Alligator mississippiensis: one gene and its partners. The protein of the gene in region 3 purifies or fractionates together with the protein of the main gene of each other region. This does not show direct contact. Links are inferred from orthologs where the notes say so. Each region holds a gene or a part of one and is shown on either strand. Other genes may lie near its edges.

Region 1 (9,839 bases), on a different chromosome or scaffold from region 3:
TAATAGAAAGCACCAAAGATTTGTCAACCCTTCCCAGAATTACTCTTACTTTTGAATTCATTGCAAACTTAAACTGAAAACTGAGAAACATGCTTTTGATTTTTTTTAAAATGGCATAAGTGAAAAATGTCATACTTTGATTATACCCCTCGGTAACGAATAGGGATCTACCTAAACTTCACAGGAAGGTGAAGTGGTGCCTCTTTCTGCCACATGTTCACGGCCACCCTCTGCCACCCCCCAGCTTTGCTGAGTGGCTAGGAGGCAAAAACTAGGGCATTAATTGCCTTTCGGCCACTCAGCAGCTGGGGGGGAGGGGGAGGAGCACATGGTAAAAAGAGAGAGATAAAGGCAATGCTGCGCTGTAAGTTTCTGCCATGACTTAGGGAAGTCCCTACTAATGAATACAGCCCTGTAAGGAAATGGGGAAATTTCTTAAATGATAGGAACTGCATTGTGTCGGGGTGTGCTCTGGACCTACAAGCAGCCAGAGGCAAGTTTGAGACACACTTCTAGAGTGTTTCACACCTTCATTGGTGCCCTTCAGCTTTAAACCTCTTTTCCACCTGCTGAGAACCAGCTGAGTTGTGTCAGGAACTAACTCCTTGGCCTGTGGCACCTCAGCCTTACCCATCTCACCAAAGTTTGGCCAGCTCTCAACAGAAGGGATTCTGACAGCTAGAAGAATCATATCCTTGTCTGGTCATGTGCTTGTGAGTCTGACTTTCCTGCCAGGGCCTCATGCAAGTTATCCTGACACGACTTGTTCTCAAGGCAAAGCTTAAGTATAGTTTCTTATCTGGTTATTTATATACATTGCCCATTGGATTCTTGGGGATCCCACAACATGTATATAACTTTCTGTCTTCCTCCCCCGCAACGAAGTTGCACGTTTACCAGTCTAAAAGTCTTCCCTGATCTAATTAAGACTAGGAGAATAGTTGCATCCTTTCAGACATGAAGATTACTAAAATCCAGTATCCTAAAGATACTGTCTCTCACTTAGTTTTCCCACTGTGATAAATGTTCTTCCCCAAACAGCCCACACAGGAATGTGATATTTTTATGGGTCCCCATTTTTAAAATGTAAATTCGTTATTGTTTGGAAGGCCTGGATATTTAACATCCCTTTCGAATGCTAATTTTCAGTGATTACTTTTCTTTAGGCTTTGAGCTTCTCCCAAGGGACTCATTACCCAATCCTGGCCCTATTGCAATTAAAGAAATAAGATTTATATCAAATACCACAATTCATATAAACCTAAGGATGTTAAGGCTGAACACAACTTGATGCTACTTATACGTACAGACTATACATGCCATATCAGTAAACAAACTCAAGGAAACATGCATGACATCCTATGAATATAATGGGACTCATGACACAAGTATTCCTGCAACATGAAATACATGTCCATGAAAACACTGAATAAAGAATTTTGGGGGTCAAGAGTTCCCACCCTATCAGGCTTGTACAGAACCAGCAGATTCAACACCTGCTGCACATACCTAAATCTGTTAGGTTGCACAAAAGTGCTGTGCACTAACAACTGGCACTACACTGGCCCTGTGGGACCACTGCAGGTGTGTGGTTCAAGAGAGACTGAAGTGCCTTAGGTTTTTGACTGTCTGAGACTAGCAAAAAAGTTAGCAACATGCAAAAGATGCATCATTTTTCTCTCCCCCTGGCTGCAAAGAGGGCTGATGTGAAATTCTGAGATGGCTTGAAACCTCAAACTATCAAATACATTACAGTAAGAAGCTTATCTCATTTCCCCACACCTACATCCATCATTACAGCTCACAAGTCAAGCACATTGCTTGCTGCAGCTAAAATGCAATAGCAGTTAAACAACAGTGAAACTATTAATATTGGTAATTAAAATGGCAACAGTAAGACCTCAACATAACCTTTCAAACTAACATGGGTGGGGAGAGTCTGCACTTCTGAGAACTATTGTTTTAGGCCACTTACAGTTTCAGGAAGACAACATTAAATTAGTTCACAACAATAAAAGCTAGATTCCGACTTTCTTCTGAAACTGAAAAACTGTTCTGCTTTGTGATAAAGTCTATGACAAGAGACTGACCACAATCCTCTTGAAATAGCTTCACAGATAACTACTCCAACTGATCCACAAGCAAAAGTGATAGTATCATACATCTACATCAGTGGTTCTCAACCTTTCTAGACTCAAAGCATTCCTCGTTAGACTCAGAGAACCTTTAGGCAATTCCAGCTCTTAGTTTTCATTCTTTCTTTGACTACAGAAAACTAACAGCAATTCTTTTGTTGCAAAAAACTCAGACCACAACAGGGCAGAAAGTTCTTGACACTGGATTTGTATTTAAAACCTCTGGGTTAAGCTTGTATATTGTGTTCACCCATGGCATCCTTGAAAGGATACAAGGGTACCTGTCTGAGAATCAACAGTTTACATCTTCACCTATACAAATTCTGTCTGTACTACACCAAACCAACGCATCCAAAGCAGCATATTGGTCCCACAAAAAATTTGTGATGCAAAAGGCTTTGCTTCTTTATTGCATACATTAATTCCCACCAATTAACAGGTCATGCAAAAGCTTCAGGAAATAGACACAGCGTGCTAGACAGTCACCAGCTTAACTCATGGGAAAGGATATTCCTTTGTATTTAGGCTAAGGCAACCAGTTTACTATTTCGCCCTACAAATCTATAAAAAATACCAGTCTTTTTTAACCAGTGTAAAATTATTTCTCCCTCCATCAGTCCAAGAAACTAACAAGAAGGCATGCCTTAATTCAATGACTGTCACAGGTGAATTTGCATTATAAATTCTTATCAATTTACAGGATACTATAAGCTTTTCAGGTTTACTTGTGTATTCTAATGAGGAAACCTCTACATTACAGAAACAATAATTTATACAACTTCTCTCCATTTTACAAGGAGGATGAGAATATTGGGTAATGTTTTAAAAAAATGCAACAAGAGCCAGTGGGGAGGCAGAGGTAGCGGAGAAGAGGGAAGCGGGAAGGCAAGGGGGATGACTGGTGGCTGTGCCCTGCCGTGACCACCGCCACAATTGCCGTGATCATGGGCTACAGGCCAAAGCAGAGTGGGGGAGCAGCCTCAGCCTGAAGTGGTACAGGACACAGACCCAGTCCCGGCCCAAAGTTGCAGGGGGGAGGTGGGGAGCAGCCATGGCCCCAGCCACTGGTGGGGGGAGGGGGCTGGACGCAGGTCTCTGTCCCTGCCTGCCTCCTTCCCATCATTCTTGAGAGAGAGAGAGTGTAAAATCTCATACAATTTCCCTCGGTCTCTATCCAATTTGTTTTAAGTTAACTTCTTGTTGAACTGCTTTGTTATTTTAGAAAGCGACATATTGTAAATATGCTCTATTAACTAGAAAACAGGGTAGAAATCTGGTTTTACAAGACCATAGCTATTGGTATTCTAGTTTGTTTTCAAACAGGTGTTAATGCTTCTTATAGTTGTGTTAACCATGGTCCATACCCTCTAGCCTCCAAAACACATAAAAGCAACACAAAATCCTGTAGAGCTACACTATCACACCCCACCCATACCATGTTTTCTGGTAGCTCCCAGATCTACCCTGATTCAGCCTCATTTCCTCGTACACATCCTAGAGCTCCATATATAATTGCCAGATCTCAGCCCCCAAGCCCCACTCCTTCGTTTTGAAGCATGATGATATCCTACGCAAGTTCACTGGAAAATTCAGCCCAACTTTCATCCAAGTAGTCTACTTGACAAAATATTTACTTATCAAAACAAGACGTTTCTACACAGAACATGTTCTGGCCTGGACGTTCTCTACTATTATAGAGGCTTTAGCTAAAAAATTCCTGGGGGGGGGGGGGGGGGGGGGGGGCACCAATCCTTTACGTACAATATTTAGAGAAAAATCCAAAGGTTAAAATCAGAAGAATAAATACTCCACTGATGAATGTGATTATTCTAATTTATATTCTAAGGTGGAGTTTTAAACTACTTCCCTCTCTCTGTTAGAGGCTACTTTATTATATCCAAGTAGTCTTCTAGGCTGCTGGTGAAGAAAGAGAATTCACTTAATTTCTTCCATTTGCAACAGGTTCCATACATGCAGGTTTCAGAATCTCTTAATGTTATGGCCATCTACTATACAGAAAGGACAGAAAGCACTTGTATTTTAGCACTTCACTTGTCTGCCCCAGACCTTACAAGAAAAAGGTTTATTAAGAAATGCTCCTACAAGCATGGGGGAGCAAAAGCCAGACCGTGGGAATCTCTTTAGAGGTTACACAACCTTTTTCATACTGATGTACTGGCTTTCTTCGATCATGAAAAAGAACAGTTGTTCTTCAGAGTTACTGGACAGTAAAGAAAGATTCACAAAAATGATACCACCACTGAGACTGGCCGTTTTATAAAAAATTTCCGAAAACGTCTTATTTTCATCTTTGATTTCAGGTACCATAAATGTGAAACTTTATTCTGATAGGGAGTCCTATTAAACCCAAATATTTAAACAGAAGAAAAGAAACTAAATGGCTTCTGAAAGCTTAAACTGGTTGAACAAATGTGTTCCCATCATCCACTGTAGAAAAGTGTATTTTCCCCAGGTTGAAGCAATTTCAACTCCGATTCCGAATGGCTATTCTTCCACCAGACTGCTGAACTTCGGAGAACTCCTTGGAAGAGCCCAACTGAGTCATCTCCAGTCAGTCCACGTATGCTAGGTACAGGCATCTCATCTTGAGCTATGCCTTTATTTAGACCAAATCATTCTCAAAAGCATCTACCACAGAGAGCTGTCAAAATGATTAAATCCTCTGCTCATGCACCTGACGTCTCAATTACAAGCATATGAGCATCCCCATGAAGAAGATGAAGAGCAAGTCAAGTTAGACCGGCAGTTCTCAACTCAAGTACATCCTCCTTGTAAAATTTAAATCGAGACCCCCTCAGCTTTTGCTGCGTGTCTGACTGAAGATAATAGGGGCACAGGTTAGAGCTGTGTTGGTCTACGGACATGGGCAGACAGTGATCTTTGGGTAAATATGATAGCTTTTATTACACGGACTCAAGTTAGTTGGGACTCATATGACGGATTCCTGTTTGAAAGATCTGGGTTTATTTGCTAGACCCCTTTGCCCACCCAGCAGCGCTCATGCCATGCAGCAGTCCTGACAGGATGTCAAGTCACCCAAGGGTGCTGCTGCAGTGCCCTGAGCACCCCCGAGTTGGGACCCTGACACGACCGACAAGTCCCCTGGCTCTCGCGGGCAGTGACGGAGGAACTTGTGGGAAACCCCTGTCAGACACAGGGCGCTGCGCGAGGCGGCCTCGCTGCCGGTCCCCGCCTCGCCTGATGGGACAAGGGGCACCCGGATGCTCAGGTCCAGCACCCGACCGGGGGGGGTGAGGACGGGAGGTAGGTGATCCTAGACCAGGGTTCGCGAGCGCCGCCCGCCGCCGCCCGCGCCACCTCCACACTCACCATAGCGCCCCGCTGCCAGCCACATCACACTTCCGGCAGCAAAGGGGCGGGACCGGAAGACATAGGAGCCTAACTTCCTTCTGATTGGCCGGACAGATGCCAGCCTCGCAAGGCCGGGCGCCGCTGAGCGTTCTGATTGGCGCGGGGGAGCGATGAGGGGTGGGAACGCGGAGAGGCCGCCGCGGCCTGCGATTGGCTGTGCTGAGGCCCGCGGCGAAAGCGGCCTTTCCAGGGCACCGGAAGCGGCGGCGCCTGAGCGAGGTAGGCAGCGAGCGACGCGCCCCTCCCCCGCTGGAGCTTGGGGGAGCGCTGAGGCGGGGGGAGCCCTTGCCCCGCCCCCGAGTGAGGCAGCAGTGCGCGTGCGCCCGCTCCCCGGGTTGGGAGAGCGCAGCTCGGCTGAGCCGGGCAGTGCCGGGTCGGGGCCCTCTCCCGGCTCCAGACCTGGTGTTGACGGGCCGTAATGGCCTGGGGCCCCATTATGGTTCCGCCCCGCAACCGATGTGAGTCGAGGCCGCCCCTGGTTTGCTTTGTGCGGCTGAGGGAGCGGGTCGAGACCTCCCCGCGCCGTCCGCCTTTCTCCTGTCCCAGTCCCAGGGGACGCCGGGACTGAAGAAAGCGGCCCCGGGCCTGCAGCAAGGCTGTGCTGTCCTGGGGCCCTACCACGCGTTGCCTGCACCAGGCTCGTGGCGACTCGCGCAGTACACGTAGGCGGCCACAAGCGCCAAGTCGTCATGCAGTTGAGAAATGAGTCGCGCAAGAAGTTGAGAGCGGCCCTAGGTTCAGAGTCGTGGTCACACATGGAAAATGAGCCTCCTGCTCTAGAAAAGAGCCAGCTGGCTGTTTGGGGAACGGCACCAGAGCTAGTTTCTATCCAGCTGTCATTTGACCATGTAGTAGGGTTGCCAACTCTTTTTGAATCTGTCTGGGGCCGTTTCCAGACTGCCAAACGCAACGTGAACACGCCCACGTGCTTGCGTGTATCAGTGATGGATTATGGTGCGTAGACTTTAGGTCAGGAAGGCAAATGCACCTGATTATTACATTAAAAAAACCCCCACTGGATTACTGTATAAATTGGAGTCAACGTTTTTATTTTAATGAATGCCTTATCATTTATCTCCCAGGTGACTCTCAGCAAGCTCCTGGAGATTTATGTCTAATTACTGGAGACTCCTGGAGGGTTGGCAATGCTAACATGTAGCAGGGCCCTTCACCTTTGCACTTAGTGGGACTTCGTGGTGCTTGTAGACATGCAGAGCACTGTCTCTGATGCGCTGTACTGTAATTATGATGTGTCAGAGCAGACTCAGTTCATCGAGTCTCGATGAATTGAGTCTGCTGGAGCATGCTAATTAGCACACTAGCAGCCTTGGGGGCTTGTGTATTCAGCATCCCCATGCTTCAAAATGATGGCAGGAGCTTTTTAACTAAAGCTCATCAAATGAGCTCTAGATAAAGAGCACCCCTGCTAGCATTTTAAAGCATGGAGATGTTGGATGCATGAGATGCTGTGGGTGCTGTAATTAGAGTGGGTCTCTGGAGCTGCTCTGCTTGACACCCCTGCCCCCCCAGCACGTGTAAAGATGTCCAATGTGACCAATTTCCCACAGGTATGCAGTGCTGCCTTGCAGCCCTGAAGCTGACTACCTGTATTTATTTTCAAGATCCTAGGAGCCAGAGGCTGTTATTAAAAGCCTTGGGTTTGGCTTCCCTTGTTTTTGAGACTCGCAACAGCTTTCCCTATCCCTGTTTCTGGCTCACTTAAAGGGAGTAAAATTACAATGCTGACAGATGGAACTAGCATGTAGTTTACCTGAGTACAGTTTGTCACAACCCAAGGGTGTGATTTTTGTTTGTGTGTGCTTCGGCACTGCTGAATTATTTCCCGCCACTCATAGCTTTCTTTGCAGGGTGCATTTCTGAGCTGCAGAAAGGAGATGCACGTTGCAAGGAGTTCCCGCCATTTGTATTCAGATTCGTGCCCCACTATTGGTCAATTCTAAATTATTCCTACGTGGCTGCTAGCGATTGGCTTGCTAGCCGTATAAGAGGCTTGAGTGGTTTCCGCCCAAGTTGGAGGACTCCACGACCATCAGGTGGAGGAGAATTTCACGTCTCGTGAAGATCTCTAAGCGCTGTGGAGCCTATCGGACCCAGCGTGTATTTCAAGAAGGCTATAGGGGTCTGATCAGCCTCTTGCCTCTCCCCGTCGCCGCCTGATCCCTCGACGTACCCTTCCCTGCACACAAAGTTCCACGGAGCCTAGCAAACTTCATGTGAGTGAATCCAGAGCTCTACCCGGGGTTCGAGTCCTGCAGATTTTTTTCTTCCCGTCGCTGAAACCCCATTGCGACGTACTCCTGAGGTTTTTGTTCATCTCCTGTCGCCGAAACCCCATTGCGACGTACCCTAACGTTCTGCAGGTTCGAGTTTTTTGTTTTGTTTTGTAACCGCAACTCAAGCAAGTTTTCCTGCCTGTACCGCGACCATCTTTGGTGTAAGTAAAATAATCTTAAATCAACCACTAAGCATCCATGCCTAATTCTAGCGTGCCACCTGTCTTCCCCCACCCGGCGTGTCCGGGCTGCTGGCCACAGCCCGCCGTACGAAAAAAGGGCCTCGGACCGCTCCCGGTCCGCACACAGTTAAAGATAAATAGTGAGATTATGCATGTTACACAGATAACCAGTATTTATTATTTATAAGAAAAAAGCAACAAATTGGGACTGGCAGTATGGGTCTAAGGGGAATGCATTGTGGTTGAAATCCTGCAATTAGAAACTTGTCCATCTCTTTGGAAGGGGAATCAAGCATTTTTCTTCCCTTGATATGTTCACTAACTCATACTAGTAACATCTTGTTGCTTGATGTCCTGTGACAATCAAGACAAGGTGGTGTGTGCAGCTGCTGTGTGTGGCATGTTATAGATTGGGGAGGGGACAGGCAGTATCGTGGCAGGTAGTGCAAGGAGCAGATTGGGCCGGGATTGCAAGTAAGGAAGCAGAAATCAGAGCAGCAGATTAGGCTGGGGGCACAGGGCTCGGAGCAGATTGGGCAGGGGAAGGCAATTGCAATGGAGAGAGTGGGGCTAATTTCTGGCACAACTGCAAAAAAGATTGGCACCCACTGGACTAGATTGGTCTATGAAAACTTAAATGTATAATGGATCTTCTTTACATTATACCTACAATCGTAGAATAGTGTCCAATCTGTGAACAGATGTTTATATGGTTGATCTTACATTATAGGGTGAACTCATTGTATTATATAACCCAAGATATGTAATAACTGCACACATATGTAAGGGTTACATTTTTACCCCTTTTATCTATATCTATTAAAAGTCATGAATTTAAATCCTATAGATGTTTAAAGTAGTCTGTGTGCTATATAGGTTGTTGGCTTAATTAAAACATTACATTTTTAAGAAACATTTTAGATTATAAATTCTATAGAGAGACTTGCATCTGGCAGCTGGTTTTAAAGAAGGTCTACCTCTACCATCGGGCCTTTGAAATGGATAGTATTTAATTTGTTGGCTCACCATGAAACAGATGTGGTGTTTGTTTTTTAAACGGAGTATTTTTTTAAGCAGTTAGCTTTGATCCTCTGAGGAATTCCAGGAAAACAGGACTATATGTGTGAAGGCCAATTTGGAGTCGAAGAGTTTCCTCACGATTATAATATATTTGCAGCAAGGTGCCTACATTTGATGTCATGTCTTCTGAAAGTTTATTACACCAATAACCCAATGTTGCCCTTTCCAAGACTAGTGATTCTTAAAGAATGGGAAAGGCTATATCCATGCTTCAAAATGATAGTTTTATTTTGGGTTCTCTTTATTAAGGTTTACTATTTAACTGCAGTACATTGTTTTCAGCCTAAGTTGTTATACAATGCAAACGTTAGTTTCTTTTCTTCACTGGGCAATGGGGAAGAAGAATTACACTCCTCCTGTGGGAGATAGAAGGTTAACAGTTGATATGAGCAAATACTCCTTTAGGAAGTTGCACAATGGTCAAGAATGGAAATACAAACACAGTTATACTGAATGTAGGCAATCTGCTGTTTAAACAACCATTTAAACATAACTGACATACACGTATCAAAAGGTCAGAGGTCCTTTTGAACCTAAGATTTTTTTTTCGTAACTAACAGTATACAAGGGAGCAGAGTAGATAATGGGGCATCCAACTGGTTTGCTCCCTAGCCCAAATGACCAGGTTGTGGTTGACTGGCCAAAGACCTCTTTAGGACAAATCTAGAGCAGGGCTTGAACTTGTGTTTCTGGAGCAGGAGCAAGGTGCATCACTCTGCCACTGCATCCCTTAAAATAAATATATAAAGCACTTA
Region 2 (10,284 bases), on a different chromosome or scaffold from region 3:
TATGCCCATAGGGAATGATAGTATTTTAAGAAATTGTTACATATGTATTGAGTTGTGCCTATTAAATACCTTGCAACACTAAAATGTTAAAGTTTGGCAGAAAACACTGGACTACACCTCTGAGTGACTGGACTGAATTACGTTTTTGTCTGTTGCTGTGGAGTATGGTTCTACAGAGCCTTCAGGTGTCTGGTCACAACCATAAGGAAACTGAACTCTGCTAGCAAGGTAACTAACCCACTGTTTGTTAATTTGAGCTCTCAAAGCGTACTTTGATAGAGCAGAGCTCTCATCTCATCTTCAGTCTCTGCCCCTTCCTGCCATCCGATTCAAACCAAAGTTTGGGTAATACTTCCAAGAAATACAAAAGGATTGTGCTTTGTCCAGTTCCCAGGGGACACCAAAGAAAGAGACTTCTTAAATGTTCCATCTTTTTCTCCCTGGAGGGTATGTGATGTGCTCCCTATTCTTTAAACATCTTTGTGTTTAAGGCTCAGTTTTGTTTTTCTTGAAGTTTGAGGTGGGAGAAGGGGGAAGAAAAAAGTCAGTGAACTCTTCTGTAGACATTTCCAGCAAATGCTGTTTCTTCAGCACAGGGACTGGTCAAATTCAGTAGAAGCTGCTGGAAAAAAAAACTAAATGGAGTCACACAGCTAAAGGATGATCTTCCCTTCCTGCCATTTAACTTTTTGCAAACATGGAAATACGGAGTAGTGTGGTGACTGTTAATAACTGGATGAAAGACTCACTTGATGAGAGTGATCATCAAAAGCAGCCTGGTTAAAAAGCAGACGCTATGTTAAGTACTCTTCTGCCTAAATGAAAGGAATGTTTAAACACCTCCATGGGATGCCTAGTAACTATGAAAGTATTGCCTAAGGTAATTAGTTACATGATTTTTCTTCCAGGTTTATTTTAGGGATAATGTAGGTAGGAGGAATCTTCCTTTGTCTGCATTTTTCTAGCAGCACATGTGGAAAGATGGAAATGCTCTGCTAGTAAGGAAAAAAAAATTGAAACAGGCATTAAGAGAATGGGTAACCTTCCAGTTTATTTGGGCAGTGTGATGTGTCTGGGAACTGTATTGGTAAAGGAAAGAAATTCTTTGAGAAGCATACTTCTATAAAATATGGAGGCAGTTAGGACATGCAAAGTACTTGAGCTGAAATGACCATGTTTTATAGCTTACATTTCTAGGCTCAGAAGGAGAGCAGGTTTGACATTAAAGTAAACTGAAAGCCAGAAATTCACAGCTTGTCATTTAAAAAACACTGCAGTGTTTAGGGTGGCATCAACCCAGATTACGTTCATTCTTTGCATTACCATTTCCTTGTTCTTAGAGGATACATTACTAAGCCCTGGTGTACATTTTTTCCTCTTTGAAAAGGCAGGTAGACACACATTTTGTTTCTATGGAAGAGTGAGGCCTGGTCCAAAGAGTTCCCTGTTAAGATTAGATTTGATTTGACCCAGTGACTCTTCTGGACACAGAGTTGAAGGAATCAAAGGCTGCAGCAGCACTATGATACTGGATCCTAAAATTATTACTCATCTATAAATGCATTTTACATGAGCTAGAGACTATTCAAAATTCAAGATAAGTAAGATTTCCAAGCTATGCCTACTTTGCATCCAATACACACAAGTTACAGCTTCCAGGGGTTGGATTAGCCATTCATAAAAGGCCACCTATGGTAGCAACTCTCTTCACAGCACTCCATAATGAAGTTCCTCCTCTCCAATTCCCAGAAGTTTTTACCCTTGGAGCCGATTTATTCTAGGCTATCAGCCAACTGAATTCTTAAGCAGGAGAATGTTTGTAGCTAGAATTGTCAGGAAGCAGTATTCATCTCATCTCAGAGACAGTTTGGGACAAAGAGGGCAGGACAGTTAGCATGTAGGTTTTTAAAAAAGTTTTTAAGAAACACTTCTGGATTCATTCAATTTAGTGAATAGGTTAAGGTTAGGAGCGAAGCCATTAGTGACTATCTTAAAATGTAATTTAATATTCAGGTTCAGGAAGTGAGAGACAGAAGATAAACTATATAGGTCTCCTCTCTCCCCAGCTTGAGTTCTGAAAAGCAAGGCTGCTTTTGAGTGGGAGATTTACATTTCAGACTTCTTAGCTGCTTTAATAATCCCTCTAAGGATGCCTGAGAAAGAAAGAAAGAAAAAAAGATATCCTGATTTAGATAAGCCCATTAGATCTACTCTAAAGGGAATTCTCTACTCAGAAGTCCCTGGTTCTTCAGCACTCACATTTAAAGTAATTTCTCCTATACTTTTTCCATTTTTTAAAGAAGGAAAGTCTGCAGAGAGCTTTGCTGCTAAGAAGAACAAGAACATAAGCCTCTCTTCCCCTCCCCCCCCCCCGGACAGTAAAGCAGCAACTGTGGTACCTGTGATTTTTTATAGCAGGGCAAGGCAAGTTAACTGGGTTTAATCTGCAGCAGCTGAGGTGCTCCAAGCCCCAGTTAACATCTGCTCAGAATGGCCTTAATGACCTTGTCTTAGAGAGAGCCTGCAGCCAGTCTGGGGTTTTCCAGAAAAAGCAGGTGCCTTGGTTAATAATGCTTGATGATAAGGATGGAGACTCTTTTTACTTTAGTTTTAAATAAAGTTATTTCAACACACACACTGCTTCTATCATGAGTATTTATTACAGGCAAATCCCACAAGTATTTATATAGCTGTTGTTAAATTACACTCTGTGGATTTAAAATAGCTTTAAAAATGTGCACGCATAAATTAGCTGCCTTCTCTTTGCAAAACTGCAAGCTCAGCTATGAGAAAGGAATCCTTCAAAGAATACATGAGAGAAGAGGAAGCACTTCATTACAAAGAAGGGGTAGTCTAATTCTGAACTGACAAGACAGAGGGGTGTGATGGGAAAGATGACATTACTGTAGGGCAGACTGATAGCATTATTATAGATACCTAACACTTTGAGTTATAAGACCTTGCTTTCAATTGCATATAGTTTTGCAACATTTTAGTTATTTCAGCTGAAATTTCCCATGATGGATACCTGCCTCAGGAGTCATTTATTGGTCAGTGTGCTTTTGAAAAAAGACTTGAAACAATTCTAACTGAGGAGTTTTTCGGCCATCAAAGGAGTCAAATGTTAAGGAAGGGTGGAGTCACAGAGGTTGTCTGGTTTCAGTGGTCTTTTAAGGAAGGAAGAAATATTGAGAAGATGGCAAAAGGGTCAGCTGGGAAAGAATCCCACTATAGTTGTGATATTGTTAGTAGAAGAGGCTAATAAGAGTTCCATGTTAAAGTGCAGAAGTAGACCTTGGAAACAATGGAGCACAGTGTTTAGGACCAGGAAGGGGAATTTGTTGTCTGTCTCTACCTTTGCTTTCTAAGAATTCTCTCTGGCCTTAGAATGCTACTAGGAAGCTACGCGTTCCCCAGCTGGAGGGACAACTGGCCTTGAGCTCTTTATCAGGCCCTTTGCTAATTTGGAACCAGATGGTGTTGTGGTGGCCACTGATTCACAGGTATGTATGCAGAACACCTGTACTGATGCTGGCTGGTAGGAACAGGCTGCCATATCCTGTGTACACTCTCCATGAGTGGCATATGGCAGGGAATGGGATTCCCAGGACAAGGAACACTCCCCCCCTGCTTTTCATAGCTTCATGGACAGTAAGCTGGTCCTAGACAGCCAGTCTCTTTAATCCACTAATGCAGCCTCCCCACTTCTCTCCTTCCCCCATCTGCATTATCAACTGCCTGTTTCCAATAAACTTGCCCAGTTGTAGAGTTGAGCCATGAATTTCAGATTCTGCTCCAAGCCCCCCTGAGTCTGAGTATACTCAGACCCAGGGCAAGGTCCAAGCCCAACTTCTATCCATTTCTTCACTTCTTCATGGAGAAGCCTCTGTCACTCAATATCCCATTTTGCAGAGGAGCGTCATGATGTGTACTCACTCCTCTCATCCTAGGCATCAGGGGATTCAGAAGCAGGCACTAAGTAGGATTTTCAGATGTTCCTGAATGTCTAACTTGCTTTGAAATTAACAGGTGACTTGTCAAAGGTCACCGAGTAAATCAGTGACAGACCTGAGACTAGAGCTTGGATCATTCGCCCAAGCTTTACCACTGAATCACAAAGGATTAGACTGGTTGCCCCTTTACTCTAGTAGGTTACAGTTGCTGATATGAACACCTTTACTGACTTCGGCAGGATTATTCTTATGAGCAGCTGTTCTCCAGTGGATCTCACAGTCTGACCCAACAGGCTTTTCTATCACTAGCTTCTAATTAGACTCAGTTTATATTATATTTTTAGCATCTTATCCCCATAAGTGGAATAAGTGGAACTGGCCCTGAGAGGGAATTGTAGTCCCTAGGTCATAAATGCTTTCAAGAAATGTAGTTACGTGATCAATGCTGAGGATGGATTAATACTTATTCTGTAGCCTTTGGGAGCCATACAAGTCATGGCTCACACACACAGGCTTTTCCTTATCCCCATATGAAGTCACACATGCTCTAGGGAAGGTACAAAGAGAAGGGACTCATTCAGCCTTGAAAGGAGAGACAAAGATCCAAATAATATGAAGCATGTGCTAGGGAGATTTTTTTATTAGGATGGCAACTCTCCAGCTCTGGGCCTGCAGATCTCCCCGTAGCAGACCACATCAGTGGGGTTATTACAGCCCAGTAATGACTACAACTCTCGCAGCAAATTCAGTCCTTTAGGATAAGAGCTCTTTTGCTGGATGTTAGCCAAGACCTACCCTTACTTTTGTTTCTGATCAATCCATGTTAATGGATATGAACCAAGTCAAAGCAACCCTTGCCTATGAGTTCTTACTGGATAATATTCACTGCCAGGTAGAGGATCTATGAGCTACTTATACTGCATTTAAGCGAGACTTTAAATGAGACTGAAGTGGCAGCCTTGAGTTAGGCCCCCTCTGCTGGTGGCAAATTCCACCTATGCAGGCCTGATCATGAAAACAGATCAGGGGCCATTCAAACACAAACCATTTCTACTATCAGAGCGGGAGGACACTTGGAAACCATTGTTCACCTTGAACAATGGTGAATCTCTTTCAGACTGAATTTATACACATCTCTTGTCCCATGCCTTGATGATTAAGGCTGCAATAGACTTTCCATTCTAAAACTGTATTGACAAATAGTTTCCCTGCATGTGCAAATAGATGAGCAATACTGAGCATCACCATGCATTACCTAAGCAGCATTATTCTACTTTTCTCCAAATCATTCTGTAATCCTCTCCATTTCTCTTATCTCTTTTGTTTTGTCTTGCCCCTGCTCAGTATCTTCTTCAGCAGCTACAGAGAAGAAACACTTGTTTACGGTATGGCAGCTATTAAAGGTCTCACTTCATTTGAACGCAGGGTGATTTGGGACATTTTCTCAGTACCAAGAAAACTGAATTCGTTCGAACATCATTGCTCTGAACGAAATCCTGCATCAAGACTATAATTTCTGTCCGAAGTCTAACACTCGAGGCTATTCCGGGGACAGGCAGCTTGTTTCTCCTGTGTATCATCCTCATAAATACTTCAGAAATGTGGCAAATGCTTCAGTCTGCTTTAATGTACGGAAAGAAAATACGGAGCCACAACACAATGTCCTCAGGCCGAGCCCCTGGCGCCGACTGCACCGGGCACCCGCTGAGACGAGCGGGTCAGTCGCACCAGACGGAGGCTTCGGGCCACGTGGCCGGACGGGGCCTGCCCTCGCCGCGGGCGTCACAACGGGCGGGGGGGGGCCGCCCGCGCTGGGGGCGGGCCTTGAGGCGAGGGCCCTCCGGGGCGCGTCAGGGGAGGGGCGGGGCGTGGTGAACCGCCAATCCCGGCAGCCCCAGCTCCTCGGGCCCGCGTGCGCAGGCGCGGTGCCCCGTGCTCTTGAGCCCCAGGAGTCGCAACCGGCGGGGTGACGCGCTTTGCAGGAAGGGGATCGTGCTTGAGGCGAGGGCGGGATCTGTCGCCTCCGTGCCGCGTCAGGGGAGGGGGCGGGGCGGGGCGGGGCATGGAGAACCGCCAATCCCGGCTGCCCCAGCTCCTCGGGCCCGCGTGCGCATGCGCGGTGGCCCGCGATCTCGAGTCCCGGATTTAAACGGGTCGCGGGGGCGGTGACGACGCCAGCCCGGGGCGGGGCCGAGTGCGGCCTGTGAGGCCCCGTCGCTCGTAGAGCCGGGCCCGGCCGCACATGCCCGCGGCTCTCCGGCGGCTTTTCGTGCAGGTCGCTGGGGCGCTGCGCCGCGCGGCGGGACCTCGCCTCCCCCAGGGCCGCGTCTTGCTGCCGAGCCGCCCCTGGGCCCGCCCGCGTCCCTGGCGCCCGGGCCTGCCAACGAGCAGCCCCCCGCGCGCCGGCCGGCCCGCCCCGCGCGCTTGGCTGTGCTCGGCGCCCGAGGCCATGGCGGAGCAGCGGTACTGCGTGGACTACGCCAAGCGCGGCACGGCCGGTTGCAAGAAGTGCAAGGAGAAGATCCTGAAGGGCATGGTCCGCATTGGGAAGGTTGTGCCCAACCCCTTCACCGAGTCGGGCGGCGACATGAAGGAGTGGTACCACGTGAAGTGCATATTCGAGAAGCTGGAGCGGGCTCGTGCCACCACCAAGAAGATAGAGGACATCACAGACCTCGAGGGGTGGGAGGAGCTGCAAGATGCCGAGAAAGACCTCATCAACCAGCTTATCTCGGGTGAGAGCCCCTGTGCCCCTTCCCCCGCCCCCTGCATCTTGAGGCAGGGACAGAAAACAAAGTTACAGCAAGGGAGAAGAGGCAGGGGCACTCGCACGCATGCGCAAGGTGACCTGTCATCTGCCCCTCGTTAGGGCACTGGGAGCCACTGCTGGTTTCTGGTCCCAGCTCTGCTGTGTCGTGCTGTGCGACCCTTGGCCAATCCCCATAACTTTGTGCTTATTTCTCTGTAGAAACGCCTTCCTAAAGGGCGGGATGTTTTGTAGCTCAGAAACAAGCTGCTTATTGTCAAGCATTGTGACTTGTTAAGTCTTATTGAATACTGTGGGGCTGTCACTGATTGTGGATCTCAACACTTCATCTCTTACAGAGGCCACATCCAAGTCTGCAAGCACACCTAAGAAGAAGGCAACAGTCCAGGCTAAGCTGTCCCCCAGTGGGCAGATAACCTCCCCCAAGAAAGATCCAGGAGCTGTTCCTAATCCATCTCCAAAGAAATTCTCTGGTTTCACAGGTCGGAGTTGGTATATAGATGCTGGGAGAAGCTTTTATTTCTCACATAGCATTCATATTTCTGGCGTTTCAAGCTGAGTCTCACACCAGTAGCTTTCATCTAGAAACTAGAAGATTGTTTAGTACAAACTACATTTCATATTTAGTTTGAGGAAAATGTTAAGTATTTTCTCAGCTGTCAGGTGTTTGCATTATTCTGGTTGTGTGAACAGGGATAAAACCAACCAAATATTCTACTCAGAAAGTGTAAGGGGACTACAAAAAATGTTTGACTGTCTCATCTGAAATCAGCAGAAACCTGCTCCTTTTAGCCTCAGTGGAAAATCTCTCATTGTCGTTAACAGGAGCAGGACAGGAGTTTCCCCTCTCTCTGTGGGGTATGAATAGTGAAGGTATCTGGAAAGCTAATATGGAACTGGCAAGCTGTTTTTTGTGACTTGTGTTGATTACGTTACCCCTTTGAAGGGCCGCTAGGTTTTGAAATGATGTGCCCTTTTATGCTAAAAGAGAGGCAGAAATAAAGCAGATAAAACACCTGAGCTTTTCTAATATATTTTAGCACTTCAGTTTGTTAAACTAAAGCCACCACCTTCCAAAACTGCAACTATTGTCCTCCTGGTGTGACTGTACTGTATAACCAGATACCTGAATATATTGAAGTTTGTAAAATGTAGGCTGTTACACAGCCTTTCTTTGCTTGTTAAAACTAAGATAACCCTTTATTTCTAAATGTACTTTTTTTTTTTGCATTGGAAAAACTGCTTCTGACAGCTACTCGAGAATCCAACTCAAATGGGGTATTCTTTTACAAGAAACAAGCCTCTCCGATAAATTGATCATTTGCCAAGTTAGTTCTTGAGCTTCATAAGAAACTGTGATGCAGCTGATTTAGCTCACTGAATTACAGATTTGCAGAAGGCAGGGCAGGGTAGCATCTTGGGGCTCCTATACACATGTACAGAGCCTGCTCTGGTGTGCTGGAAATCCAGCATGTAATCAAGTCTGCTGGAGCATGCAAATTGATGTGCTCCAGCAGCCTCACACGTCATGTGTATCAGTGTCGTCATGCATCTCCGCACTGACAAAATGCCAGTGGTGTGCTTTCAAATAAGCCCCATCTGATGAGCTTTAGTTCAAAGTGCCCTGTTGCCGTTTTTTCAGTGTGGCAATGCTGATACGCAGGATGCGTGGGCTCTTTTAATTAGCGCAGCTTGCTAATCAAAGCACCCATCCAGGAATGCACGTAAAAATGTCTTTGGAGACTCAGACGCTGGTCCTACGAAAGCTCAGTTAGAGCTGACTCCCCTGACAAAGTCACTGATTGTATATTGAACCCTCTGTCTTCAGTACTTGTGTAAAAGGATGCCCACCAGTCAGATAAGCTGTTTTTATATAATTGTAATAGAATATATTTTATCCACATGCAGTCTAAAATTAAATCGTCTCATCAAGTCATCCCATCTTTGGATGACTTGATCCTACTGTACATAAGATGTCCAGATCCTGCATAAGGTTGACAAGACAGGTTCCATCTTCCTGGTGAGAGCAGGTATCTTTGGAAGTTGATTGGAAAAAAAAACAAATAATGGTTAAGTGGACAGTTATAAGAAAACCTGTGCCTTTGTCAAGCCTTTTCCACCCACTGAAGATTGCCTTCATGGTTGCAGATATTGGGGAAATCTGCTGCAAGTCCAGAAAGTAAAATAAAATCATCACTCGCCACAGTTTCTTCGCATCAAGATTTAAACCATTGAAGTAGGTAGATTTAAGCTCCAGAAAATTCTTCTGTGCTCTGAAGGGAAAAGACTTATTAAAGTAGCATAAATTTTGTTTTAAATGCTGATTCAGATTTTGATCATAAATTCTCAAATATTGCTGTGCATTTCATTCATATTTGAAGCTTTGCCAGTTTGTTAGTATTGTTCTTGCTTTCCACTTGCGTGGACAATGGTGCCCGTCTCTTCAAAGTGTGAATCATATCATTCCAGCCTACATCTTAAAAATTTAAATAGTATGTCTTTCTCTTGCAGCTAAACCAGGCAGTTCTGGGGACACCCCTGCCAATTCTTCCCACAAGTCTACTCTGTCTTCAAAGAAGTGTGACCCAAAGCACAAGGATTGCTTGTTGCGGGAATTCAGAAAATTGTGCGCCATGGTTGCTGACAAGCCCAGCTATAATGTGAAAACACAGATCATCCAGGACTTTCTGCAGAAAGGGACTGGAGGAGGTGTGACTCCTGCTTGACACTTCACTGTGTGTGAAGGGCTTTTCTAAAACAATTAACCAGACCCTCAAGCATTATTTCAGGAGTTGAGGAAGCAAAAAAGTCATGTCTGTGGATGAGGATTCCCAGAGTTGTGCCCTATACCACTTATCTCTAATATAATCTGGGTGGTATCCATAGTGTGCTTTCCATTCTCTTTACTATTGTGGAGATAGTAAGTTGTATTAAGACTAACAGCAAGATCATGAGCAGTTGGTGCCAAATCTGCAGTACCAGTGGTGATGCGTAGGGTGTGCACAGGGGTGCTTGTGCACCCCCTGAGAGTGCTAGTGCACCCCCTGTCAGCTAACGTGCCCAAGTGAGGGGGCAGGCGAGAGTGCTGGTGCCCCCCTTGAGAGCACCAGCCAGGAAGTGCACCAGGAGAAGCTGTCCCCCCACTGCCGATCCCGCCAACCCGGAAGTGCCAGCAGCACACTGCTGCCAGTTGCAAGTCAGCAGGATCAGTTGTGCGGGATCTCTTCCCCACCCCCAGTTGCTGACTGTGCAGTCAGGTGGGGCAAGTGACTCAGGAGGCACCAGTCACCCATGTGCAGTACTAAAATTAGATGAGGAAGGGATCAACTGGATGATTCCCCTGAGAAGTGTCCTTTAATATAGAGAAGAACTGAGAGGTGGCCAACCTGTATCACATGTGGCACAACTGTCATGAGCAGCTTGTGTGTGGCATGCAACAGATTGGGGAGGAGACAGAGCAGAAAGCAAAGCAGCAGGGTACAGAGCAGGAAGGAGAGCAACCTAAGGCAGGGGAAGGGAATCAGAGTGACACCCGGGAAGGTGTAAGGCTAATTTATGGTACAC
Region 3 (9,494 bases):
GGCAGTGTACTAGCACATGGGCACGATGGATCACCAGCATGCCAGGGGGCCATGAGCGGGGGGGTGCTGTGGGCTGTGAGCATGTGAGAGCCCTGAAAACACACATGGGGCCTATGTCACGAGTGTATGAGGGGCCCATGAGCATGGGGGACAGGGAGGTAGGGGTCCTCCTCCACCTAACTTTCCCCCCCCCCCTTTTCCAGCTACACCTTCTCTAAGGTGCAGGGCAACAGTGATATCTACTGGCGGTCACAGCGCTACAGCCTGATCCTGGAGTACCTCAGTCGTCCTGCCCTGGCGCCCCCCTTCATCCTGCTCAGCCATTTGTACACCCTGCTGCGCCCCCGCACCCGCTGCTCCCGCAGCCGGCACTTCTGTGAGCATGGGGCTCAGGGGAGCTGGGAGCAGGTGTGGGGTGCAGAAGGAGCAGGGGACTGGGGGGGAGCTGGGGGTAGGGGGTGGGGAAGGGACATGGTGGGAGCTGGGAGCTTGCAAGGAAGGGTTTGGGGGTTGGGTAGAGCTGGGGTTGGGGGAGTTTGAGGGGAAGGGAAGCTGGGGTGGGAAGGGAGGGGTTGGCATTGGGGATCTCACTGAAGGGCTGGAGGCACTGGGTTGATTGACCCTGACACTGTCCTCAGCTTGGCTCCCCCTTTCCTGTGTTCTGCTCTTCCCCCTCCCCATGTGAAATGTATGTGCGCCCATGTCCCCATGCAAGCTCATGCACATGACCTCCCTTCTCATGCAAGCTCACACTCCCCCACCCTCGAGCACAGGGGTGCTTGGAAAGGTGCAGGAGCCCATGCCTGAGTTGTGCAAGCCAGCCCACATCTGTACCCATGCCCTTGTGCAACCTTGCACACTCAAGTGCCCTCGCCCCCCCTGGGTGAGCTTGGAAGAGCCACACTCACACTGTGCGAGCTGGCACATATCCTGTGCCTTCCCCCTCATGCAAGTCTCTGCTGTTGTGCCAATGCACACATCTGTGCCCCCACCCTCACGTGAACTTGCAGCACCCCCCAACTCCCTGCTCCATCCCCACCCCACGCCCCGGGAAGTCCCAGGCTTTTTAAACTAGGCCCAACTGTAAGTTACTTTCAGCCCCTTTCCCCATGTTAGCTCCCATGCCCTGCCTGCATGGTTCTTACGTGTGTGCATGGTCCCTCTCCCCCTGGCCCGGATGCCTGGGTCCCTGGCAGCGCTGGAGCTATCTGAGGAGCAGGATGGGCAGCTGCTTACATGGGAGGCGGTGCAGAAGGAGAACCACCTGGTAGCACTGAGGCGCCAGAAACGTGAGAGTGACACCGAGCGCCTGAAACGCACCTCCCAGAAGTGAGGCGGGGCATTGGGGAGGGGGGCTAGGGAATGGCTGCGGGGAAAGAGGGGTGCAGGGGGGAACCCTAGGCAAGGGGAGACATAGAGAAAGTGGAGGGGGTGGGAAAAGAACAGGGGGTCACTGATGGAGCCTGGGATGGGGTGCAGCAGAAGCTCTGAGGTAGAGGGGCTGGGGGGACCCCTGAGTGACCCCCATTCCCTCCCCCTACACAGGATGGACCAGGCCTTGAAACAGCTGGCTGAGATCCGGGAGTCAGAGCGACACCTCAAATCCCTGGAGAACCAGGTACCCGGGTGGCAGGGGGTGGGGGCTGAAGGACCCCATCTTGGGGGGGGGGGGAGGTTGAGGAGGCAGGAGAGGGGGCTCTCTATGTCAGGGTCTCAGGGGAGAGGGTGCCGGAGGCAGTGGGGGGAGGAGGGTTGGGGGTATAAGGGGCAGAGGGAGGGAGTGAAGTAGGCTTGGGGGCACTGAAGCTCTGCCCCCCCGACCCACCCAACCCCCCCAGATGGAGTACTGTACGCAGGCTCTCTCCTGGGTGGTAGATGCCCTGGCTCAGAGTGACCTAGGGAAGAAGCACCAAGACCCTCCCATGCTCAGAAAGGGTAAGTGACCCCATCCTCCCTGGGCTCCTAGCCCCCCGCCCCCCCACCCCCCGCAGGATGTCCCCTACTCCCCAGTCTCCATCTCCCTCCCCCTTGGATGCAGGCTGCCCCCTCAACCCTGGGACAGGGTCCCCCCATAAGCAACCACCCTACTCCCACCCCAAGAACCAGGCCCCTCGGGGGGTGGGGCAAAAATGAAGGGGTTAATTGGCTCCTTCATATATTAGTGTCCCCCCCCAAGCTGCAATGTGACCACCTCCTGCCTGTCCTAATTCTGTCTGTCTCCCCCCAACCAGAATGACCCACTCCCCCAACTCTGCCTGGACCAGTGAGAAGATGGGAGAAATGAGAACCCAGGTGACCAGGCACCTGGGACCTGCTGGAATCCAGGACAACCTCTGTAACCTCACTGTGAACCCAGGTGTCTGGGTGCTGTGCACTTTCTGAGGGGCTGGAGTTGGAACACCCCCCCCCCCCCCCCCAATCATTGCACTGGGAAGCCAGGAGTCCAGCTACCAGAGACTTTCCCTGTGGGGCTGGCATCCAGGATCCCCACCCCTGTAGACCCAGGTGACTGGGTGCCAAAGGACCTTTCAGAAGGGAGAAGCAGAGGAAGGAGGGAAGTTGGGGTATCCTGCCCCCAGCACTGCCCTCCATCCACTCTGGCAGGAGCCTCAGGATCTTGAATGACTTGAATTCTTTGATTAAATAAATATTGATTGTTGCACACCATGAGAACCAGGCCTGGGGGGCAGGGGCTGGGTGAAGTGGGACCCCCCCCCATGCCAGGATCCTGTGCTGGGAACCTCTGATACCCTGCCACTAGCACCCCTCACCTTGAGAGGCCTAGCAGAAGGGTGCCCTGTGTGCAGGAACCCAGGACTCTGAGCTAGCCTGGGGGCATGAGAAGGCCCCTACAGCGTCCACTTTGCCTCCAACCAAAATCCTCATGTGGTTCTCCCTAGGCTCCAGAGCAGCTGTACACCCCCATGGTCCCCCCAAGGACCCCCTAGACTTTCCCCTGGCCTCAGGGTGCCCTGCTTTGGGGTATCTTCTTCACCTACCACTGCCCCTCCCTGCCTGTGGCACCTACCACTCTGCCTCTCCCTCCCTGGACCCTCTCCCCCATGCTGGTGTGTGCCTAGGGACCCTTTTATAATGAGATGACTGGCTCTGTGGAAGTGGAGAGGGCAGTGGATGTGATACACCTTGACTTCAGCAAGGCTTTTGGTATGGTCCCCCTCAACATTCTCACAGGCAAGCTAAGGAAGTATGGGTTGGTTGGATGAATGGACTGTAGGGTGGATAGAAAACTGTCTGGATCATCAGGCTCAGAGCCTAGTAATCACTGGCTCAATAACTATTTGGAACCTGGCATCAAGTGGAGTGCCCCAGGGGTCAGTCCTGGGGCCAGTTTTGTTCAGTGTCTTCATCAATGACCTGGAAAATGGCATAGAATACACCCTCAGCAAGTTTGCAGATGACAGCAAGCAAGCTGGGGGGAGCAGTAGATACACTGGAGAGTAGGGTTTAGATTTAGAGAAATCTTGACAACTTGGAGGACTGGACCAAAAGAAATCTCATGAGGTTCAATTAGGACAAGTGCAAAGTTCTGCACTTGTACCAGGGCATTGTTCTGTCCTAAGTAGGCAACCAACTGGCTAAGCAGCAGTTTTGCAGAAAAGGAGCTGGGAGTTACAGTGGACAAACTGAGTACGAGTCAACAGTGTTGCAAAGAAGGCTAACAGCATATTGGGCTGCATGAGTAAGAGTGTTGCCAGCAGACTGAATGAAATGATTATTCCCTTCTATTAGGCACTGGTGAGGTACTGTGTCCATTTGTGGGTTCCCCACTACAGAAAGATGTGGACAAATTAGAGAGAGTCCAGTGGAGGGCAACGAAAATGGTTCAGGGGCTGTGGCACATGACTTCTGAGGCTGAGGCAACTGGGCTTATTTAGTCTGGAGAAGAAAAGACGGAGGGGGGGATTTAATAGCAGTCTTCAGCTACCTGAAGAGTGGTTCCAAAGAGAATGGAGCTAGACCGTTCTCAGTCGTCACAGAACAAGGAGCAATGCTCTCAAGTTGCAGCAAGGGAAATTTAGGTTAGATATCAGTAAAACACTGGAACAGGTTGTCTAGAGAGGTTGTAGAATCTCCATCCCTAGTGTAGTTTTTAAGACCCGGCCAGACAAAACTTTGGCTGGGATTTTTTTAAAATATAATTCTATATATACATAGAGTTATATATATACATCCTCTAGCATAAACTTTCTATCACACCTTTAAATCACTTTAAGAAACCATGCACCTGTTGGAATAGATGATCTCCTTAGGTCCCTTATTTTCTATGATTCGGTGACCCCTTCCTCTATTGCAAGGCCCCCTGTCTCCTCCCCAGGCAAACTCTCATGGGCAATCCCATTCTCTGGTTCCCTCAGCCCTTCTCCCATACACCAAGGGCTCTGGGGGCCTCATAGCCACCCCTTACTGAATCTCTCGGCTCTCCAGTGACTTTGGCAGCGCCCTCTGGGCACAACCCATAATTGGCTGAGCCCACAGCTCTACTATCCCCAGCCTGGGCCACAGCACCACCTCTCCATGCTGTCCTGGGCTGCACCAGAGGGTCCCCCAATCCTGGGCAGCACTCACTGGGCACTTGGGATGTGGCAGGTAAGGGACCAGGTACCAGGGCACAGCACTGAGTCATGCAGCGGGACTGACGCCAGCAATGCCCCCCCCCACCAAGCAGAGGGCCGTGTGCCCCACAGACCTCCCCCACCCCGCTAGAGGCTCTGGGCGTCGCCCCCTCCTCCGCCCCTACGAACCAAAATGTCCCGGAACCCTCGGCGCCTGGTCCTGCGCGCGCGCCGGCCGGAAGTGGTTGTGGCACCCGCACCGGAAGTGCCGGCGCTGCAGCGGCGGGAACCTCCGAGGGAGAGAAGCTGCCGCCGCCGCTCCTCCCCACTCCCGGTTACGGACACAGGGGCCACTTCCGTGGTGGTGGGGGGGGGACTGCAATAGGTGTGACACTCCCCGCCCACCACACCCCGGCCGTGGGGGCAGCTGAGGTCCCTCCTCCTAGGGCCCCCCTGCAGCCCCCCCAGGGGCGGATCAGGTCCCCCAGGGTGAAACTGCCTTGTGGCACTAGGGGCTGGGGCCAACTGGGGGGAGGGGGCTTCCCCAGGGATTCACGGTGCTAAGGTGGGGATAGGGGTGATGAGGAGGAGGAGGGGCAGAGCCATGGTGGGTCTGACTTTTTGGGGGGGGCGGGAAACAATGGGGGAGGGGATGGGGATGATGGGGGGGGTCGGCGGTGGGGGAGGGGTTTGGGACAGCGGGGAGGAGCAAGGGAATGGGGCTGGCTGTTTTGGGGTGGGGCAGGAGGTGGGGCTGATGGAGAGGCAGGGGGAGATGGGACTGGAGGTGCCATCCCTCACCTCCTGCCCAGTGCCTCTCCTTCCACCTGCAGCCATGGCTTGCCACCTTGTGAGCCAGGACGGGAAGCACGACCCCGTGCCCCTGCCCAACGGCATTGCCGTGGTGCTGGGCCGTGGCCCCGAGACCCGTGTGGCCGACAAGAAGTGCTCCCGGAAGCAAGGTGAGCCGGGCCCCCCCTCCCCCCAACGATTCCCTCTACTCTCCATGCACTGTGTGTAACTTCCCCCAACCCAGGTACAGCCCTCCCAAACCTGCTTGCTCCCCCATCCCAGACCATCTTGTCTGGGGAGTGGCAGGGGGGCTAGGGTGTCTGGATTTGGCAGCATGGGGGTTGCTTGTTCTGATTCCCTCCTTGCTGTTTTCTTTTGCAGTGGAGCTGCTGGCTGACTACAAACAGCAGGCAGTGAGAGTCACTCAGGTAAAGGGTGAAGTCAGGCACAGGGGCCAAGAGGCAGGTTTGTAGAGGAGTTGTTTGTACAGGGACCCCATGCCTGACACTGAGATGCAGCTGGTTCCAGGGTGGAGTGTGTCTGGGACTACTTATGCAGAGTTCTCTTTCCTGGTGCTGAGATGCAGCTGGCTCTGGGTTGGGGCACATCAGGGATCTCTTACCCAGTACTGAGATGTACTTGCCTTTGGGGTAGAACATGTTAGGGCCTGGTTATACAGAGCGCCCTCTCCTGGTTTTGGGATGCGGCTGCCTTTGGAGTGAGCACCTTGAAAGCTGGTGCATCTTGCTTGGCACTAAGATGCAGCCATTTCTTGGATTGGGGCACGTGGTGGGCTATTTATACAGGGACCTTTCATTTGGTACTGAGCTGCAGCTGCCTCTGGGGTGGGGGCACCTTGAGGGATGGTTATTCAGTTATCCCTTGCTCAGTGCTGAATTGCAGGTCCCTCTGAGGTGGAACAAGTTGTGGGCTACTTATGTGGCCACCCCTCCCCTTGGGCTAAGATGCAGCCACCTCTTGGGTGGTCTCCCCTAATGCACCCCCCCTTTGTTGCAGCTGGGTGTAAATCCCACCTCAGTGGACAACCAGGAGCTGGGGCAGGGCAAGAGCGCCACCCTGAGGGAGGGGCAGACACTATGGCTGGTAAACCGCAGCTACCCCCATGGCCTGCGCTTCCTGGCCCTGGCCCACTCCCCCCACAAGACCCTGCTGGACTTCTTCAGCTCCAAGCGCCAGCCCCAGCTAGAGGGGGACAAAGATGAGGATGAGGAGCATCCCCACAAGAGACTGAAGGCTCCCAGCCCCTCTGAGGAGGATGAGGAGGAGGATGATATTGTAGCCACCAAACTGCATCAGCTGCAGGACACAGCTGCCCAGGCCCAGGGAGCAAAGAGTGGGGCTGCCCCCCAACCCTTGGGGGGGTCCTGGAGCCTGCCCCCCCACCCCCAGGACTCCTGGGAGCAACACAGCAAGCTGCTGGTATTCACTAAGGAGGGTGTCATGCCCAGCACCAAGGTACTCTCTGGTGGAAAGGGACAGGACACCTCTGGGAGCTGAGGGATTGGGGTTGTGGGGAGAGTGGTGAACTTCTCTGCTCCTCCCCAACTCCAGGCCCTTGATTCCCTGTCTCTGCAGGTTGCTGGGTTTGACCTGGATGGAACCATCATCACCACTCAGTCAGGAAAGGTTTTCCCTACCAGTCCGGACGACTGGAGGTAAGGACGGGTTGGGAGTGAGGGGCACCATGAAGCTGGGGGGGGGGGGGGGGGGGGAGTTGAGGGCTGGGACTGCAGTAGGGGACCCCAACAGAGCTGGGGGAAACCCAGGAGTGGGCTGGCTGGGGGCAGGTGTGGGGAGCATTAACAGGGTTTTGTGGGGCAGGAAGTCAGGGGCAGAGTGGGAGACGTTGACAGGGTTGTGTAGAATGAGATGGAGAAGGAACTTAGGAGTTCTGGGGAAGAGCTAGGCACTGGCAGGGCTGTGGGCAGGGGGCTGTGGGTCAGGAGCGAGGGACCCCAGCAGTTTCCAGCGTGTGAGGTCTTGGGATAACTCCTGTCTCTTCCCTCCCCCTCTCTCCACCCCCCAAGGATCCTGTACCCTGAGGTCCCCCAGAAGCTGAAGCAACTGCAGAGAGAAGGGTATAAGGTATTCCCCCCCACCTTGGCCCCTCCCCCCATTCCCTCCCCCAGCCTCTCCACTGACCCCCACATTACTGTCTCCCCAGATCATCATCTTCACCAACCAGCTGGGGATCAGCCGAGGCCGCCTGCGCCCCGAAGTCTTCAAGGCCAAAGCGGAGGCAGTGGTGGAGCAGCTGGGGCTGCCCATACAGGTGAGCAGGGCTGGGGTTGGAACCTGGGATGTGGGGGGTTGGGGGGCTAGGGGGTTGGACCCTGTCTAGCTCCTGCCCCCCTAGTGCTCAAAGATGCCCCCAGTGCTGTGTGTAGTCCCTGATGGCCAGCTCAGATTTATAGATTCTAAGGCTGGAAGGGACCTCGGAAGATCATCGGGTCCAGCCCCCCTGCACCAAGCAGGACAGATGACTGGGGGTCAGGTGACCCCAGCAAGGTGACCATCCAGTCTCCTCTTGAAAATTTCCAGGGTAGATGATTGCACCACCTCTGACGGGAGATTATTACACAGTCTGGACACCCTGACTGTGAAGAAGTTTTTCCTAATGTTGAGCCTGAATCGGTCTTCCAGGAGCTTGTGGCCATTACTTCTAGTTTTCCCCTTGGTTGCCTTGGTGAACAGTTGCTCACCAAGCCCTAGATGTATTCTGCTAGTGTAGCAGTAAGCTGCTATCAGGTTCCCTTTCAGCCTTCTTTTCTTCAGGGTGAAGAGTCCCAGATCCCTCAGCCTTTCCTTGTATGGCTTGCCATGTAATACCCTGATCATACAGATGTCTCCTCTTTGGCTTCTCTCAAGCTTGTCCATGTCTGTTGAAGTGTGGTACCCAGAACTGGACACAGTACTCCAGCTGCAGTTTAACCAGTGCTGAGTAGACTGGAAGAATCATCTCCTTGGTTTTGTTGGAGGTGCATCAATTGATGCATGCCAGAGTATTACTTGTGGCCATTACTTCTAGGGTATTATTTGCCCTACTGGCTACAGCATCACACTGCCAGCTCATATTCATATTGTGGTCTGTTATTACCCCCCAAGCCCCTTTCATTCATGGTGCTAATCAGTTTGGTGCTGCCAAGTCTGTAGGTGTGTTGGGGGCTGCTCATCCCAAGGTGGAGCACTTTACATTTCTTGACGCTGAACTTCATCAGATTCCAGTCTGCCCAACTTGCTAGCCTGTCTAGGTCCGCCTGTATCTGTAGCCTATCTTCAAGCATGACCACAGTCCCCCATAACTTGGTGTCATCCACAAACTTGGCCAGTGAACTCTTCACCCCCATGTCCAAATTGTTAATAAAGATGTTAAAAAGTGCTGGACCAAGCACTGACCCCTGTGGGACACCACTGCCCACTTCTCAGCAGGAAGACAGATAAGGTCACTATGACTCTCTGGGTCCTATCCTGCAGCCAGTTTTTCACCCACCTGACTGTCTCGGAGTTAAGCCCATAACCCAGTTTTCTCACAAGGACATCGTGGGATATGAGATGAAAGGCCTTTTGGAAGTCTAGGTATACAATGTCAACCGGCTCTCTCGTGTCCAGATGGTGAGTCACCTGGTCATAGAAGGAGATGGGGTTGGTAAGACAAGACCTGCCCATGCTGAAACCATGCTGGCTGTCGTTTAGAATCTTCCCTTCTGCAAGCTTATCACAGATAGACTCCTTGATGAACTTTTCTAGGATTTTCCCTAGGATGGAAGTTGGGCTGATTGGCTTATAGTTACCCGTGGCCTTCCTCCTGCCCTTCTTGTGGATAGGCACAACATTGGACCTCTTCCGGTCCTCAGGGACTTCAGAGCACCATGAGTTGTGGAAGAGTTTCACCAGGAATTCCGCAACGACTTCAGCCAGCTCCTTCAGCACTCTTGGATGAAGAGCATCCAGTCCCACTGACTTGTATATGTCTAATTTTTGTAATTAGTCATACACCAATTCTACAGCAGTAGTAGGAAGGCGATTATTCCTACCGTGCTCATCTTGTACTCCTACCTGGCATTTTTTCTCTTAGTCCTGTGAAAGACCGAGGCAAAGTAGTTATTC

The links.
Region 1: the proteins of PNKP (region 3) and XRCC4 purify together in Homo sapiens (co-immunoprecipitation; 5 studies listed by BioGRID and IntAct, counting the BioPlex papers as one, with this or other methods). This does not show direct contact. The link is inferred for Alligator mississippiensis from reciprocal best matches to the Homo sapiens genes PNKP and XRCC4.
Region 2: the proteins of PNKP (region 3) and LIG3 purify together in Homo sapiens (co-immunoprecipitation; 5 studies listed by BioGRID and IntAct, with this or other methods). This does not show direct contact. The link is inferred for Alligator mississippiensis from reciprocal best matches to the Homo sapiens genes PNKP and LIG3.

Annotation. Positions count from the first base shown.
Region 1 is NC_081826.1:248,738,860-248,748,698, reverse strand, and holds the start of XRCC4 (DNA repair protein XRCC4), read left to right. Parts: upstream 1-5,664; 5' UTR 5,665-5,747; intron 5,748-5,867; exon of another isoform or gene 5,868-5,986; intron 5,987-9,839. Other genes in the region: TMEM167A (protein kish-A), read right to left, coding at 5,487-5,489.
Region 2 is NC_081837.1:26,292,235-26,302,518, forward strand, and holds the start of LIG3 (DNA ligase 3), read left to right. Parts: upstream 1-6,135; 5' UTR 6,136-6,195; coding exon 6,196-6,688; intron 6,689-7,058; coding exon 7,059-7,202; intron 7,203-9,231; coding exon 9,232-9,429; intron 9,430-10,284. UniProt on the Homo sapiens protein: Isoform 3 functions as a heterodimer with DNA-repair protein XRCC1 in the nucleus and can correct defective DNA strand-break repair and sister chromatid exchange following treatment with ionizing radiation and alkylating agents.
Region 3 is NC_081828.1:39,806,990-39,816,483, reverse strand, and holds the start of PNKP (bifunctional polynucleotide phosphatase/kinase), read left to right. Parts: upstream 1-5,290; 5' UTR 5,291-5,331; coding exon 5,332-5,536; intron 5,537-5,747; coding exon 5,748-5,794; intron 5,795-6,383; coding exon 6,384-6,842; intron 6,843-6,962; coding exon 6,963-7,042; intron 7,043-7,414; coding exon 7,415-7,472; intron 7,473-7,551; coding exon 7,552-7,659; intron 7,660-9,494. Other genes in the region: TRPM4 (transient receptor potential cation channel subfamily M member 4), read left to right, coding at 204-376, 1,197-1,329, 1,546-1,618, 1,839-1,935, 2,232-2,236. UniProt on the Homo sapiens protein: Plays a key role in the repair of DNA damage, functioning as part of both the non-homologous end-joining (NHEJ) and base excision repair (BER) pathways.